Caenorhabditis elegans: one gene and its partner. The gene in region 1 interacts genetically with each later gene. Each region holds a gene or a part of one and is shown on either strand. Other genes may lie near its edges.

Region 1 (5,105 bases):
TAACCATGTAACGGTTCCTCGTGTATCACATATGGATGAATCTTTCTGGGTGTTGTAGACCTTGATAACGGTGGAGGCGGAGGTTGTACGGGATTTTTCTTTGAAGCAGCCGACACTTCACAGCTTAGAGACCGTAAGCACGCATTTTTCACCCGTTCGTATACTCGATCTTGAAGTGCTACCTGAAAATTAAGAATATTTACAAAAACCGAATTGACATCCCGTCGGCGTAGTAGATTTTTCACTTTTCCGATATTTTGAGAAAAATTGATTTTTAGAAAATAGTTTGAAATTTTAGCCATTTTTTTAAATGTTTCTTCATCAACTTTATTTTTCATCGTTAGCAAAAATTGTTTTAAAACTTTTTTAATTGTACTTTAAAACAAGGCGAAAAATTCTGGTAACCTGTCCCTAGCTTGAAAGCTTTTCGAAATTTTACAGTTTTTTCTTTAAAAAAAAACATTGAAATCAAAGTATTAAAGTTTTCAAAAACGTTTCAAGCTTCTATTAATTTCTTACAAAAAGTTCTCCATTTTTTTTTGTTTTTTCGTGTTTTTGGCAAAAATTGCTTCTTAGTCATAAATTATTAAATTTTACAGTTTTTTTTTTTCAAAAAATTACAATTGAAATTATATCTAGAGAGCAGTTTTGCTCAAAATAACGTTTTGAGCTTGAAAAAAAACATTTCGGTTTTTGGAAATTTTAAAGTGTTTTTCGTGTTTTTTTGGGAAACTTTTTTCGTCTTCCTTTCCAAAATTTTTTTTTGTTGTTTTTTGTTGTGTTTTGAAAAAAATTACCTCTGAAGAGATGTAGCTCGTTTTTGTTTGATGATCATTTGACAGAAGGCAAGGTCCATTTCGAAATGAGGAGCATGCCGAGCATCTAATATAAATTAATTAAAATATTAAAAAAAAAAAACATTAATTTTTCAATTACCTGTCCTCCGTATCAATTGTAAACTTTGTACAATTCCCATAATGGGGATAAGATGTGCCATCTTCTGTGTTAGTTTTTTCCTTTACAACACATTCACCATCGAACTGAAATTTTAAAATGAAAATTATTAATTAAATTGGTATTATTATCGAACCTTTATTAAAGGAACTATTATTCCTGGAGGTGAGCTACTTGTAGATGGTCCTAATGATGTTGAAGCTGTACATGAAGCGCCTGAAATTTATTTAAATAAAAATTAGTTCTTACACATAGATTTAATTTTTTAACTCAATATATTTTCGTGAAAAAAAGTTAATTTTATCAAATTCTAGATTCCTGTTTTTTTCCAAATCGTGTCTTGCACACTTTTTTAAAACACGAATAACCGGAAATCTTATTTAGAAGAGTTATAAACTGAAATTCAGCCTAAGTCTTCAATATAATACATTTGTATATTTCTTTCCAATTATGTTTCCTGAGTTTTTAGTAAACTAAAAAAAAATTTTAATGGCAAGTTGCAGTGTGTTGTTAAAATATCTTTGCATATTTTCTTTCTCAGCTGTTCCATTTATTATGAAATATATGAAAACAGTCCATCATTATATTCTCTTCGTCTCCAGAGACATTCTGCTTGTTTAGCAGTAAGAAAAAATAGATTACGAGAACACGAGAGACCGTAGACAACGAGAGACCGTTGGCTGCACATCTTTTTTTTCGTCCGGTGGTTATCTCTGCCAAAATGAGACCTTTTCATGTTCAGTATACATTTTTCTCGGCTCCATAAAATCATATTCAATGAACTATGGATACTATTGATTAGTTTTAAATTTCGTCGTGGTCTATGGGTTATTAGAGGAGGTATGTTTCTGTCCCAAATTTTATTACTCCCCATAACTATTAGATTTTTGGTTTTTTTTGCCGATTTCTGTCTCAAATTAAAAAAAACATCGGCGACAAATTATATATTTTCGAGAAATGTAGACCTTTTTTAAAAAAATTTTTAATTATTCGTTGCGAATTCTTGACTAAATGGGCATAAAGCAAACATTCTGAATTTTAATTCTCTAGAAGATCTCCGTTTTTTGGCGAGCTTTTACGGAAAATTTAAAAATTGTTTAGAGGGTTTTTCAGTGAATTATTTGACAAAAAATTTCAGAGCCAATCAAATTTGGCAAGATTTTTGCATGATTTTCATTTATTTTTAGAGTTTTCTTTTGGCAAAAATGGGGTTTTTGAGCAAAAAAATTTTAAATTATCATTTTTTGGTCCAAAATTGAAACAACCGTTTTAAGTGTTTTTAGACCAATTTTTTCTGCGACTTTTATGGCGCATTACGAGATGCTATTTTTGTTCTTTTTTTTAACAGTATCTACTACCTTACTCTATTCACAATCTCATTTTGAATTTAGTGTATTTAAAACATAATTGAAATTTGAAAATTATTTCCTTCTCACCTTTATCATCAACGTCTCGCATTGGCTGACAAGTCATAACAACTCTTGGTCCGTGGTTTTCACAAAAGTGACAAAGTGCTATTACTGCTTGCATTTGAATTCTGTAAAAACATGAATTTGATTTTTTTTAAAATTTATTTTAAACAAAATAAAAACAACATTTCGCAAATTTTTAACTGATCTAGTTTGAAAAAGTCTAAAATGACTTTTTTCGTGTAAAAATAAATTTAGTCTATAATTTTTCCCTAAAACTGAACCCGAAGTGGAGAATTTTCTTTTTTTTCGATTTTTTTCCGAATAAAAATGAGCGAAAAAAAATCTGTTAGCCTGACGCTAACCTAAAAATCATAAATTTGTTTAATTACTTTTTTTTCAAAAATTACACTAGGACTGCAACAAGCTTTTTAAACTTGCAAAATTTAAATTTTTTTCGTGTTCATTTTTGGGAAAAAACGAAGGTATTTTTGAAATTTAATAAGCTGAAAATCAGCTAGATTTTGCGAAAAGTTATTTCGTCACAACAGATTTAATTATTTCAACAACTTACTTTATCTATATGTTGAAAGACGATGGTATTGTAACAAATGAAGAGACGCAGTCGAATAGAGATTCTCACCAGGAATTGGTGGATGAATATCTGCAAATTTAATATATTTAGTACTAAAAAAATTACTACACATTTTTAGAAGTGGCACCAAGAGAGTAAAAAATGTAAGAGATTGAAGAAAAATGTAAGACGCAGAATGTGATGCAGGCTTGTGAATAGTTGAAATGCATGTGAAGAGTGAAGAGAGTTAGAGAGTAACACGACACAAAACAATTCAGGCGCCAGTCACATGATATGACGCAGTATAACACGAATCACAGACAGGTGAATTTTTTAACGTTTGGAGCACTTTTTACTTCGAAAAAAACTGTTGACTATATCAAAATATAAAATTTTTGAATTTTGGCGATTAAAATTGAAATATCTTGGAGTTTCGCCAACTTCATTTTGAGAAACAAGAAAAATCTTCAAAAAAAGAAAATATTCAGAATGTTGGGTATCAACGTGTATTGACCCACGACGTGGCTAAGAAGATCATGCAAAAATTCCCTCAGAAATTGTGGATGTTTCCGATGGCAACTGAAACTAGAGCTCATGGCGACAAGAAAAAATGTGTGCCACTTTAAAATGTGAATTATGAGTCAGTCTTGAGTGAATAGTAGGTGTTTTAACATCTCTTGTACCCCCTTACCTCGTATTTTTCCTTCGACTGACTCATTTTTGAAAAAAAAAACGAATAATAAAATACGGCGGTTTGAAAGCGTGGGTGGGCGCCGTGAAATCATGCATGGGAGGCAAATACCGTTAAGATGACCATTTTCTCCATGGGAGACCGTACCATTTGATTGCTAAACACGTTGAAAAAATGATACGAACGTTTCGATAAAAGAAAATTTACCAAGAACAATAATCAAAATGGTCTAAAATAAATATTGTTATTAAATTTTCAGACTGACGTTCTCAAAATTCCAAACTTTCACACGGTCAATGGATAGTCAAATAAAGTGTGAAGGAATCGTAAAAGTATCATGATGACATGTCGACTACGCGGGAGAAAAAGGATAGTGTGCGTACAGGAAGTCACAAGTAGTGCGGTGATAATAATCACAACAAAATGAAACATGCGGCTTTTTTTCAACACAAATACCAATCATTCGATGGAAATAATTATTACATGGACCACCTCGTTGTTCAATTCGTTCAATTGATGAAATATAAAGTTTAATTAGTTTTTAGAAAGCATAATTCAGTCGTCGTGTCAATCTAAATACTTTCATTTAATTTTCATTAAAGTTTGACTTCACAAGATCACATTAGGTATTTGTTCAAAGCTGAATCACAGCTCAAAGCTGAATATCACAGAAAATTCACTTCTGAATGTCGATGAAAAGTTGTGAGAGAGCAATCGAGACAGAGTTATATTACACGAATTAGCATCAGAAACCAAACTGAAAATGATAGCTTGATGCCGAAGCATCAGGAATTGGCGCCGGGGCGTTGGACAACTTGGCGCCGAGGAACCGATGAAGAAGAACTGGTGACGTCATTTCATTCATCGAGAAGGGGGCAAGAAATGAAGCCAGAAACGGACATACATCAGTTTTAATAAATAGGCATGCGAGTCAGGCAGCCGGGGGCGGTAGCAAAGTGACCAGCTGTGATCACAAGTGGGAGGATTTATTTTTCAGACTGTCATGTTATGTTGAATCCAAATTCTTGGAAACTCCTGAAATTAATTATCGCTTTCCAATAAGTTGAGCTTTTTCCACATACAAACTAGCTGCAAAAACATGATCCAATTAGGTTCTAGGAAACAATGTATCTTAATTTACGTGATTACAGGACACATATAATGTAATCATAAAGTATTACTCTCTCTATTGTCACACTTTAGAGAAATAGTTAACTATTTTACAGTCTCTCATTCTTCTACTCATTCTGCGTCTCTTTTTTAGATGTCACTATTATATTGGCTAGAATTGCGGAGAACACGTTAAAAAACTAGGAGGGCGGCGCCATATTCGTTGCTCCCGCCCCACAAGGAAGCATGCTTCAGCACAACGAACTGCGGCTTCTCACGCACTTTTGGCAATGCGCCAAAAGGTGATGGGCATGAACGGGAGAAAAGGAGAAACACATTCACGAGAAAAAAGGAGGGGAGCAGCAGT
Region 2 (7,445 bases), on another chromosome or scaffold:
TTGTTTTAGTTCCGAAACAGTAGTTTTGATAATTCTAGATCTTGATCTTTGATATGGAATTTCAAACCACTTTTGCAAAAAGAATCGGTTTGATTAGTGAAACTTAGCATATTGAAACTTATAAAATTGCATAAAACCCCCGATTGTCGGAAATTATTGAAACTGACAGTTTTCAACATTGACTATTGCATGACCATTTTTTAGTTTTTCTTGTGCAAAACCGAAAAATCGAAAAACCGAATAATTGGAAAACAGAAAAAAGTAAGAAAATTTTTCATTTTTCGCTTTTTCCACAAAAAAAACCGGAGGTCTGATGCGTATATGTATTCATTATCTATTAATATGAATGCAATACTATTTTTCAAAGCGAATGCATTACAACTAGGTTGTGCAATACTAATTTTCATACGCCTTTTTTGTTTAGGATTCCATGTTTTCATTTACAAGAACAACTGTTTCTGAAAGACATTTTGCAAAATTGTGGTTAATTGGAACAAAAATGCAATAATCCTAGCCTTGTTGTAATTTTGCAAAAAAACATTTCAAAATAAACAGTCTAAATTTTAGAAGGTGTTCGAGGTGCAGTACTACTAAGAAGTGAAAGTCTAATAGGAAGATCGTACGTTTGAAGTAATTTGTAAATCAAGACGAATAGATTTAGACGCGTTTTCACTTTACAAGCTCATACCTCAAAATTTCAGATATTTTCCACAAAAATGAATGCTAAACTCTGTAATAGTGCTTTTTGTAAAGTTTTAAAAAGATGATCAAACCAAAAAGGTTTTATCGAGAAGAAAACGAAGACGGACAGAATTTTGAAAATGAATGAGACGAGAGCATTGTGAAAAAATGAAAAGAAAACTTAACATAAGAAGATTCGTTGTATAAATGATGCAATTAACTATCACTATGGAGATGGGAAAAACGGACAAACGGACACACAGATAGACACGTTTTGTACTACGATTCTTCTTTTTTTTACTAAATAAAGAAATCAGAGGGAAAGGGAAAAAGGAATGGGGGAAAATTTATCGGGGAGGATTCTTGAAACTCATTATTCTTAAAAAGAGCAATAGAATTAAGTAATAAGAAGTGTGACTTGAATGAATGAAGAGTATATTTTTGAAAACAAAACAATGAACAGTTTGAGAGGGGGTAGAAAATAATCAAGAGAGCATTGGAAATGGGGAATAAGAACTAGGCTGTTGTTCATTTTGCTGTTGCTGTCCTTGCCAATATGTCTCGTCTTGTTGGAATGGTTGATAATGTTGAGTGTACATAAAATCTAAATCTGAGGGACCTGATTGGTGCATTCGCTTCGCTGGTGGGCTTCTCTGCAAAAATTAACATAATGTTAGGAGCCAAAAACAAAACAGGCTTACGTCAATGTGCACAGGCCGAGCAGCTGGGGCTTGAGGTACCGCAGGTGTAAAGTCAGGCAAGTCGTAAAGAGCTTGAAGCTCTGGTGGTAACCCCTCGTCCATTTGCATCATATCATAAGTGTCAACGAATGGTGCCAAGCACGATAAATCAGGCTCTTCCCATTGAAGATCGTCTGAAAGTTAAACATTTTGTTGAAAGTTATCTGATTTCTTTCACGAATGAGATTGATTTGAACATTTAAAAAAAACTAACCACAAAGTATTGGTTCGCCAGAGGTTAATGTTGGCGACGAATCGATCCTTTCGGCAATGGCGATAGAATCGGCAAAAGGCATAGTGGAGAACACATCATTGCTTCCGATGACTGGGTTGATGCCTCTAGTGGACGACACATTGAGAGTATCTGATGGTGAAAGGGCGGAAAAGCGTCGTGACGAATCGGACGGATCGCAGCTACGTCCCATAGATCGAGCGTCTCCGTACACGACTTGTCCAGATTTGATACTGCAACTGATACAAGGATATTATAAACATGTACATGCTCAACGTGCTAATTGTGAAAAATGTATAAAAAACTAACCTCGGGGGACTGTTAAGTCCACATTGTGAGATGCCCTCTGCAAGTGGCGAGTAGTTGGCACTGTGTGGCAATGTGGCCGATGCTGACGTGGAAGACGATCCAGTTGTTCGACTTCCCTGACTTTGTGCTCTTCGTCCGTATGATGTCTTCGGTCGGGAGGTACGAGATGACGAATCCATGAAGTCCGGCGAGGCCAGAGCGGAACCGAAATTCGACGGTTCGGTTGTCCTGAAGCGGTCCGCTGACCGGTAGCGTGCCGGCGGCGGAGAGCTTGGCTGGTCGCGAAAAAGCCATTGCAAAACGTCATCGTAGCTGTTCTTACGTGCTCCTGAAATACACACGTTAAGAAATCACTTGCTAAATGTATGGAACTTTGAGTAGGCGTAGGGTAAAAAATAATACGACATGCATGGACAAGTTTGACAAGTTTGAAAATAAGAAAAAGAGAAACTCACGGAGGTATGAGGACAACGGAGGGGAAAACTGCGATCTGTTGTTTTTTTAACTTAGTAATCATAATCCCATTTCCCAAAGTACCTCCTCTCCGCCGTCCTCATCCTCTCCGTCAACTTCCATTTTCTCATTATAAATCGGAGCCAGATCCACATCGAATTCCGGTGCTAAACCGGAATCTTCTATGGATTCTGTATCAGAATCCATATCGCAGTCTTCTATATCATTGCCGGCAGAAATTTGCCCATAAACACGTTGCTCATACTCATCCGTCACCGAATAAATTCCTATATACGTACCTCGTAAATTATTCAATTTGGATAAAAAAAACTTAGGTGAATCAAACTGTATAATTACAAACTTTTAATACGTTCTTAAACATGTACTTACCCATATCAGCCTGCTTAACAGGTTCTTCTCCACCAACGACTGGCTCAATAACCGTATCAAATGGATCTTCTGGCTCGATCAATGGAGTAAAATCGACGCATTCCACAATTTCAGGTTGTCTTCCAATATAGTCTCTTGTATCATCCACTTCCTTCTTGATATCTACTTGCATTCCAGCTGGCATTGAATCAGTGCAAACTACCAATGACTCTTCAGCTCCTTGGATTCCGAGAACGTAATGAACACAAATGACATATTGTCCTTTTTGTCCTTTCGTCGTATGTGTGATTGTAGTAGCTTCTGTTTGAATCCAGGCAAGTGTGTCATTTGCAGCAATCAACCGGTAATACGGGGTACGGATGTGTCCTTTGGCAAAAAGTTCCTTCATGGATTTTGATACTATCATCATATCGGCTGGATGTACCAATTCGTAGAAACTGGTGCCCATGAGAGTCTTCAGCTCACTTTTCAAGATGTAATTGAACTTATCCGAAACGAAAGTGATGCGCATGTCGCAAGTGTGACGAGTTGTGAATGCACCCATTGGGCTTTCCGTGTACTGTAAATTAATCCATCTATATTTTTATTAAACTTATAGCATCTATAAATCTGATTTGAAAAAGTTTTCGAATATACACGCCCTTTAGGACTCACTTTTCTATCTAGGTATTCAGAGTCCCTGCTCATTTTACTTTTGCAAACGGAGCAGCAATACAAGATGTAACATCTTCTCCGTTTTCTCTTCTGCTTCAAAAAAGGAGAAGATGACGCCAAGTTGCATGTGCTTGTGCTTCTCTACTTCTCTCCAATTTTCTAATCCTGTTTTCTATGCGCGAGGTGCCAACGGCTGAGTGTGCTTTGCTCAAAGCACTATTCTCTATTTTAAAGATCAAAAGAACAAACTTTTCGAGCGAGCAGAAGAATAAGAAGAAAATGAAATTGTGTAACGTCTACTCAACATTTTGTCTCACAATTCCATCAGTTTATCAAGAAGCGGAAAGGAGGAGCAGAAATTCCCAAGATCAAAAGTTCAAACTTTAGAATCTTACTATGAAACATTCAAAGCAGATATTCACCTTTGTCATTGCAGATGCATTTGCATTAGTTGTACCCTGTCCAGCAGGAATTGTGATACCTTGCATGAATGACACGTGTCCACCAGTTGAAACTTTTGAATGAACCAGGAAAGACACTGATTTGTACAAAGCACTCTTCAAATTCAGACATCTTCCACGTGGGCTGATGACTGTCTTCATTCGAAGCACCATGTTGATGCCGGTGGTGTCTGTGTCCTCGCCACGTGGCTTGTGCAGCATTTTTGATTGCTTGTCAAACTCGTCATAGTCGGATGGATGAAGAAAGTCTCGAAGGGCTCGACCTGTTAAATCTGTCTGAAAATATATCGATGTTAAAGAAGCAAGTTTTCTATTGCTCACCTGTGTTAATCCTAAATACATTGCAACACTTTCAGTGACGTAAAGAATTGAAGAATCACTGTCAACAATCATAACAAAGCCGTCCAAGCATTCGGCGATGGTGTCTTCAGTCCATACCTCATTTGTGATTTCATTGTCCAAATTGTTTTCCAATACTGAAAGAAAAATATTAATTTGAGAAAAATTGGCAGTGATTTTTGGTCGATTTTCTCAGCATAAAACACGATTTTCAAGTGATTTTTGATGTTGAATCAACTATTTCTTTATTCGATGTCACTTACCATTACCGGCTGTCTTGCGCAGTCGACAAATTGTGGCGGCAACACGAAGAAGTGCAATACGGTCTAGATGAGTTACGGTACCTTCTTCAACAATAGGCACACACATTTTCAGATCATCAAATATATCCGATTCTTTAGACCGACGATCACGAGCCGCGTGTCTCGATGTTTCACGACGGCGTTCCATGTTTCTAAAAAGTTTGATTTTGAATTTCTTGTCACCCCAAAATTGGTGAATTTCAAAAAATTATATACCTATATAAGTACACTTCTCATGAGGTTTTTCGATTTAATTTAGTTTTAAGTATAACTGGGAAAATTTATTTTTTCAAAGGTGGAGTAGGAGGAGCCAGTGGAGAAAGTGTTGAAAACTAATCCAATGGTACTAAAATGACCGAATATCAAATTAAAAATTGTCAAAAATTTTTTGAAATTGTTTATTTACCGTCCGTTAGATGATAATCACTCAATTTTTGCCACTCATAATTTTGGAAGCATAGTAGGGATCGGAACATGCGGCATTCCTCAAATACTTATGTTTGTAAAAATTTTGGCCATTTGCCAAAACTTTGACCGGAAATTATGAAAAATCTAAAAAATTTTTAAGTGTTTTATTATGATTTTTGGTTGTTTCGAGCCATTGTAAGTGTATTTTTTAGGCAAAACTGCCACTGGCGCTACTCCACCTTCAATCACAATTATTTCACAATTTATTTTCATAATTTACTTTATCTAACATCTCCGATTAAAAATGAGTTGTGTCTAAAAAGAGCGAGATATATTTTATATAGATGATTCACATTTGATATTCGATTCGGAAATGCGCATTTTCAATACATCTACCTCTGCCAATGCTCCCTCTCTCTCATTTGCGAGCAGAGCATGGAGCAAACCCAAAGGACTACGGTACTTCTAGCGTTTTCAGGCATCCAATCATGGAATGTTTAAGAATGAATTTCGATTCTAACAGAATTCTAACTCTACCTTTTCCGATTGTCTTCCATCTTGATAGTGAATAGGTGCAGCTTCAGTGAAGCTGAGGTTGGTGTGATTGGGGCAACTTCCCCGTAATGACGGGCAACTTTCAGGTGGGCTGAAAATGTATGACAATTTTAAATTGAATAGAATCGGGTAGAGGGAATTAGAAAAATTGTATCAAATGTTCTTAAAATTATCATTGAGAACATAAGGGGTTGTTAGATTTTCGAATGTTAACACTTTTGAATAAAAAATCAAGTTTAGTTATGATTTATAGCACTAGGGTAGAGTGTAGTGAGACAAATTGAAACATCATAAATACCAAGGGTGCACAAAACGATCGATTGGATATGTTAGTGACAGTTGTTTGGACGGGGTCCCAGAGGACGTCAAGATTTGTAACAATTTCATGGACAATTGACTATTTGTTAGGCAAGTATCATAAGAATGTTGCAGAAAACAAATCATAGAGATCAAATGCTCAATTTAAAACCCAAATCTAAAAACAAGAACTTAGGTAGACTGGAAATTTCGCTGAATTCAATTCAAGAAAAATTGTCAATTTCTTTATATTGAGTGAATACAAACTGATTACAAGAATCATGTGATAAGCCAGTGAAGGAGAAAAGGGCACACAAAAAGATTAAAAGCAAAATTTTCCCGATTCAAAAATATAAATCTGGATATTGATGTTACGTCAATGGTATGAATGGGGCAAGATTGAGGGGGTGACTAACATCAAACTATGAATGAACTACGATCAATCTTTGAAAAAATTGTAGTTGAAGTAAGTCAAAGAACAGGGGAATCACTAGAATGTAGTGTTTTCACCGAGCGTAAACAATAATGTTTTTGAAGATAACTATACTCAAGTTCAGAAAGGGTAGTTTGTGTAGTGATTTTAGTTTATCCTTATTATCAAGTGAATTTCAAATAAAATAGTTAAGATCGGGATTCAATCAATCTTTGGACTTAAAGGCGGTGTAGTCGAATTTTTAATTACTCTATTACACTCAAAATTGTCTGAAAACACCGAATTTTCTAATTAAATTTTTGAAAAGGACACAAAAAAACTATGGCGGCCCAAAATATGACAAAAAAATAAGTTTTCAGCCGCTGAGAGTTGCTCAAATTTTAAAATTTAACTGATTTTAGGTCCTTTTTGAGCCACCATAATTTTTTTGAGAAGTTTTCAAAAAGTTTCATTAAGAAATTTGGTGTTTTCAGACAGTTTTGAGTCTAATAAAGCTAGTCCTTACATCTCATATCACACTTTTTAGCTTAATCGAGAAATTGAAAATATCGATACATCAAGAGAGTGCACAATTAATATAAATCCTCAAAATATAATAAAGAATTGTCGAAAGTTATTGGAACATTAAATAAAATCAATAGTCATATGAAACGAGGGAAACAGATAGTCATCATCAACAAGCGGGAGGCGACGACAAAATGTAAGAAGAAAGATGTTGATAAGACAAGAAATTGAACGACAGTGGGCAAAACGACTTCTCAGAGACTGTCGATTGACAGAATGTTAGACAAAAAATTGGGGGAAAGCTAGAGTACAGAGAAGTAGAGTGACTGATAATTGATTAAATTTAGCGAAAATTGAGTTTAGTCCATATCTTTATAATGGAAAGGATCAACTTTTTCCGATATGTGGTTCAGGAGCTATGTTTTGACATTGGAGTTAAATAAAAATTTAAAATACAGATCAATGAAATCAAACCTATTAGCGTTACCTTTGAACTATAAGAATTAATAGATTTTCTGAAAATCTGAAATCTCTCATTAGAGAAAAACTGAGCAGCTAGTGGGCGGTGCCTACAAACCAAAGATGGGCATCCAAACATTTCTTCGTTGATCAAAAAATGAATTAGAGAAGTAGAGTTTTCTCTGAAAATTGAGAGAGGTGAAGAAAAACCAAAAAAAAGACCTCTCA

The links.
Region 2: of flcn-1 (region 1) and hif-1, changing one suppresses a phenotype caused by changing the other (phenotypic suppression), as found in Caenorhabditis elegans (one study listed by BioGRID).

Annotation. Positions count from the first base shown.
Region 1 is NC_003280.10:6,926,692-6,931,796, reverse strand, and holds the start of flcn-1 (Folliculin), read right to left. Parts: upstream 3,028-5,105; 5' UTR 2,938-3,027; intron 2,492-2,937; 5' UTR 2,485-2,491; coding exon 2,391-2,484; intron 1,171-2,390; coding exon 1,091-1,170; intron 1,041-1,090; coding exon 937-1,040; intron 883-936; coding exon 798-882; intron 183-797; coding exon 5-182; intron 1-4.
Region 2 is NC_003283.11:20,778,583-20,786,027, reverse strand, and holds hif-1 (Hypoxia-inducible factor 1), read right to left. Parts: upstream 5,622-7,445; 5' UTR 5,527-5,621; coding exon 5,507-5,526; intron 4,714-5,506; coding exon 4,523-4,713; intron 4,397-4,522; coding exon 4,242-4,396; intron 4,197-4,241; coding exon 3,882-4,196; intron 3,557-3,881; exon of another isoform or gene 3,493-3,556; coding exon of another isoform or gene 3,460-3,492; intron 3,365-3,459; coding exon 2,806-3,364; intron 2,703-2,805; coding exon of another isoform or gene 2,500-2,702; intron 2,291-2,499; coding exon 1,963-2,290; intron 1,893-1,962; coding exon 1,636-1,892; intron 1,556-1,635; coding exon 1,383-1,555; intron 1,335-1,382; coding exon 1,167-1,334; 3' UTR 768-1,166; downstream 1-767.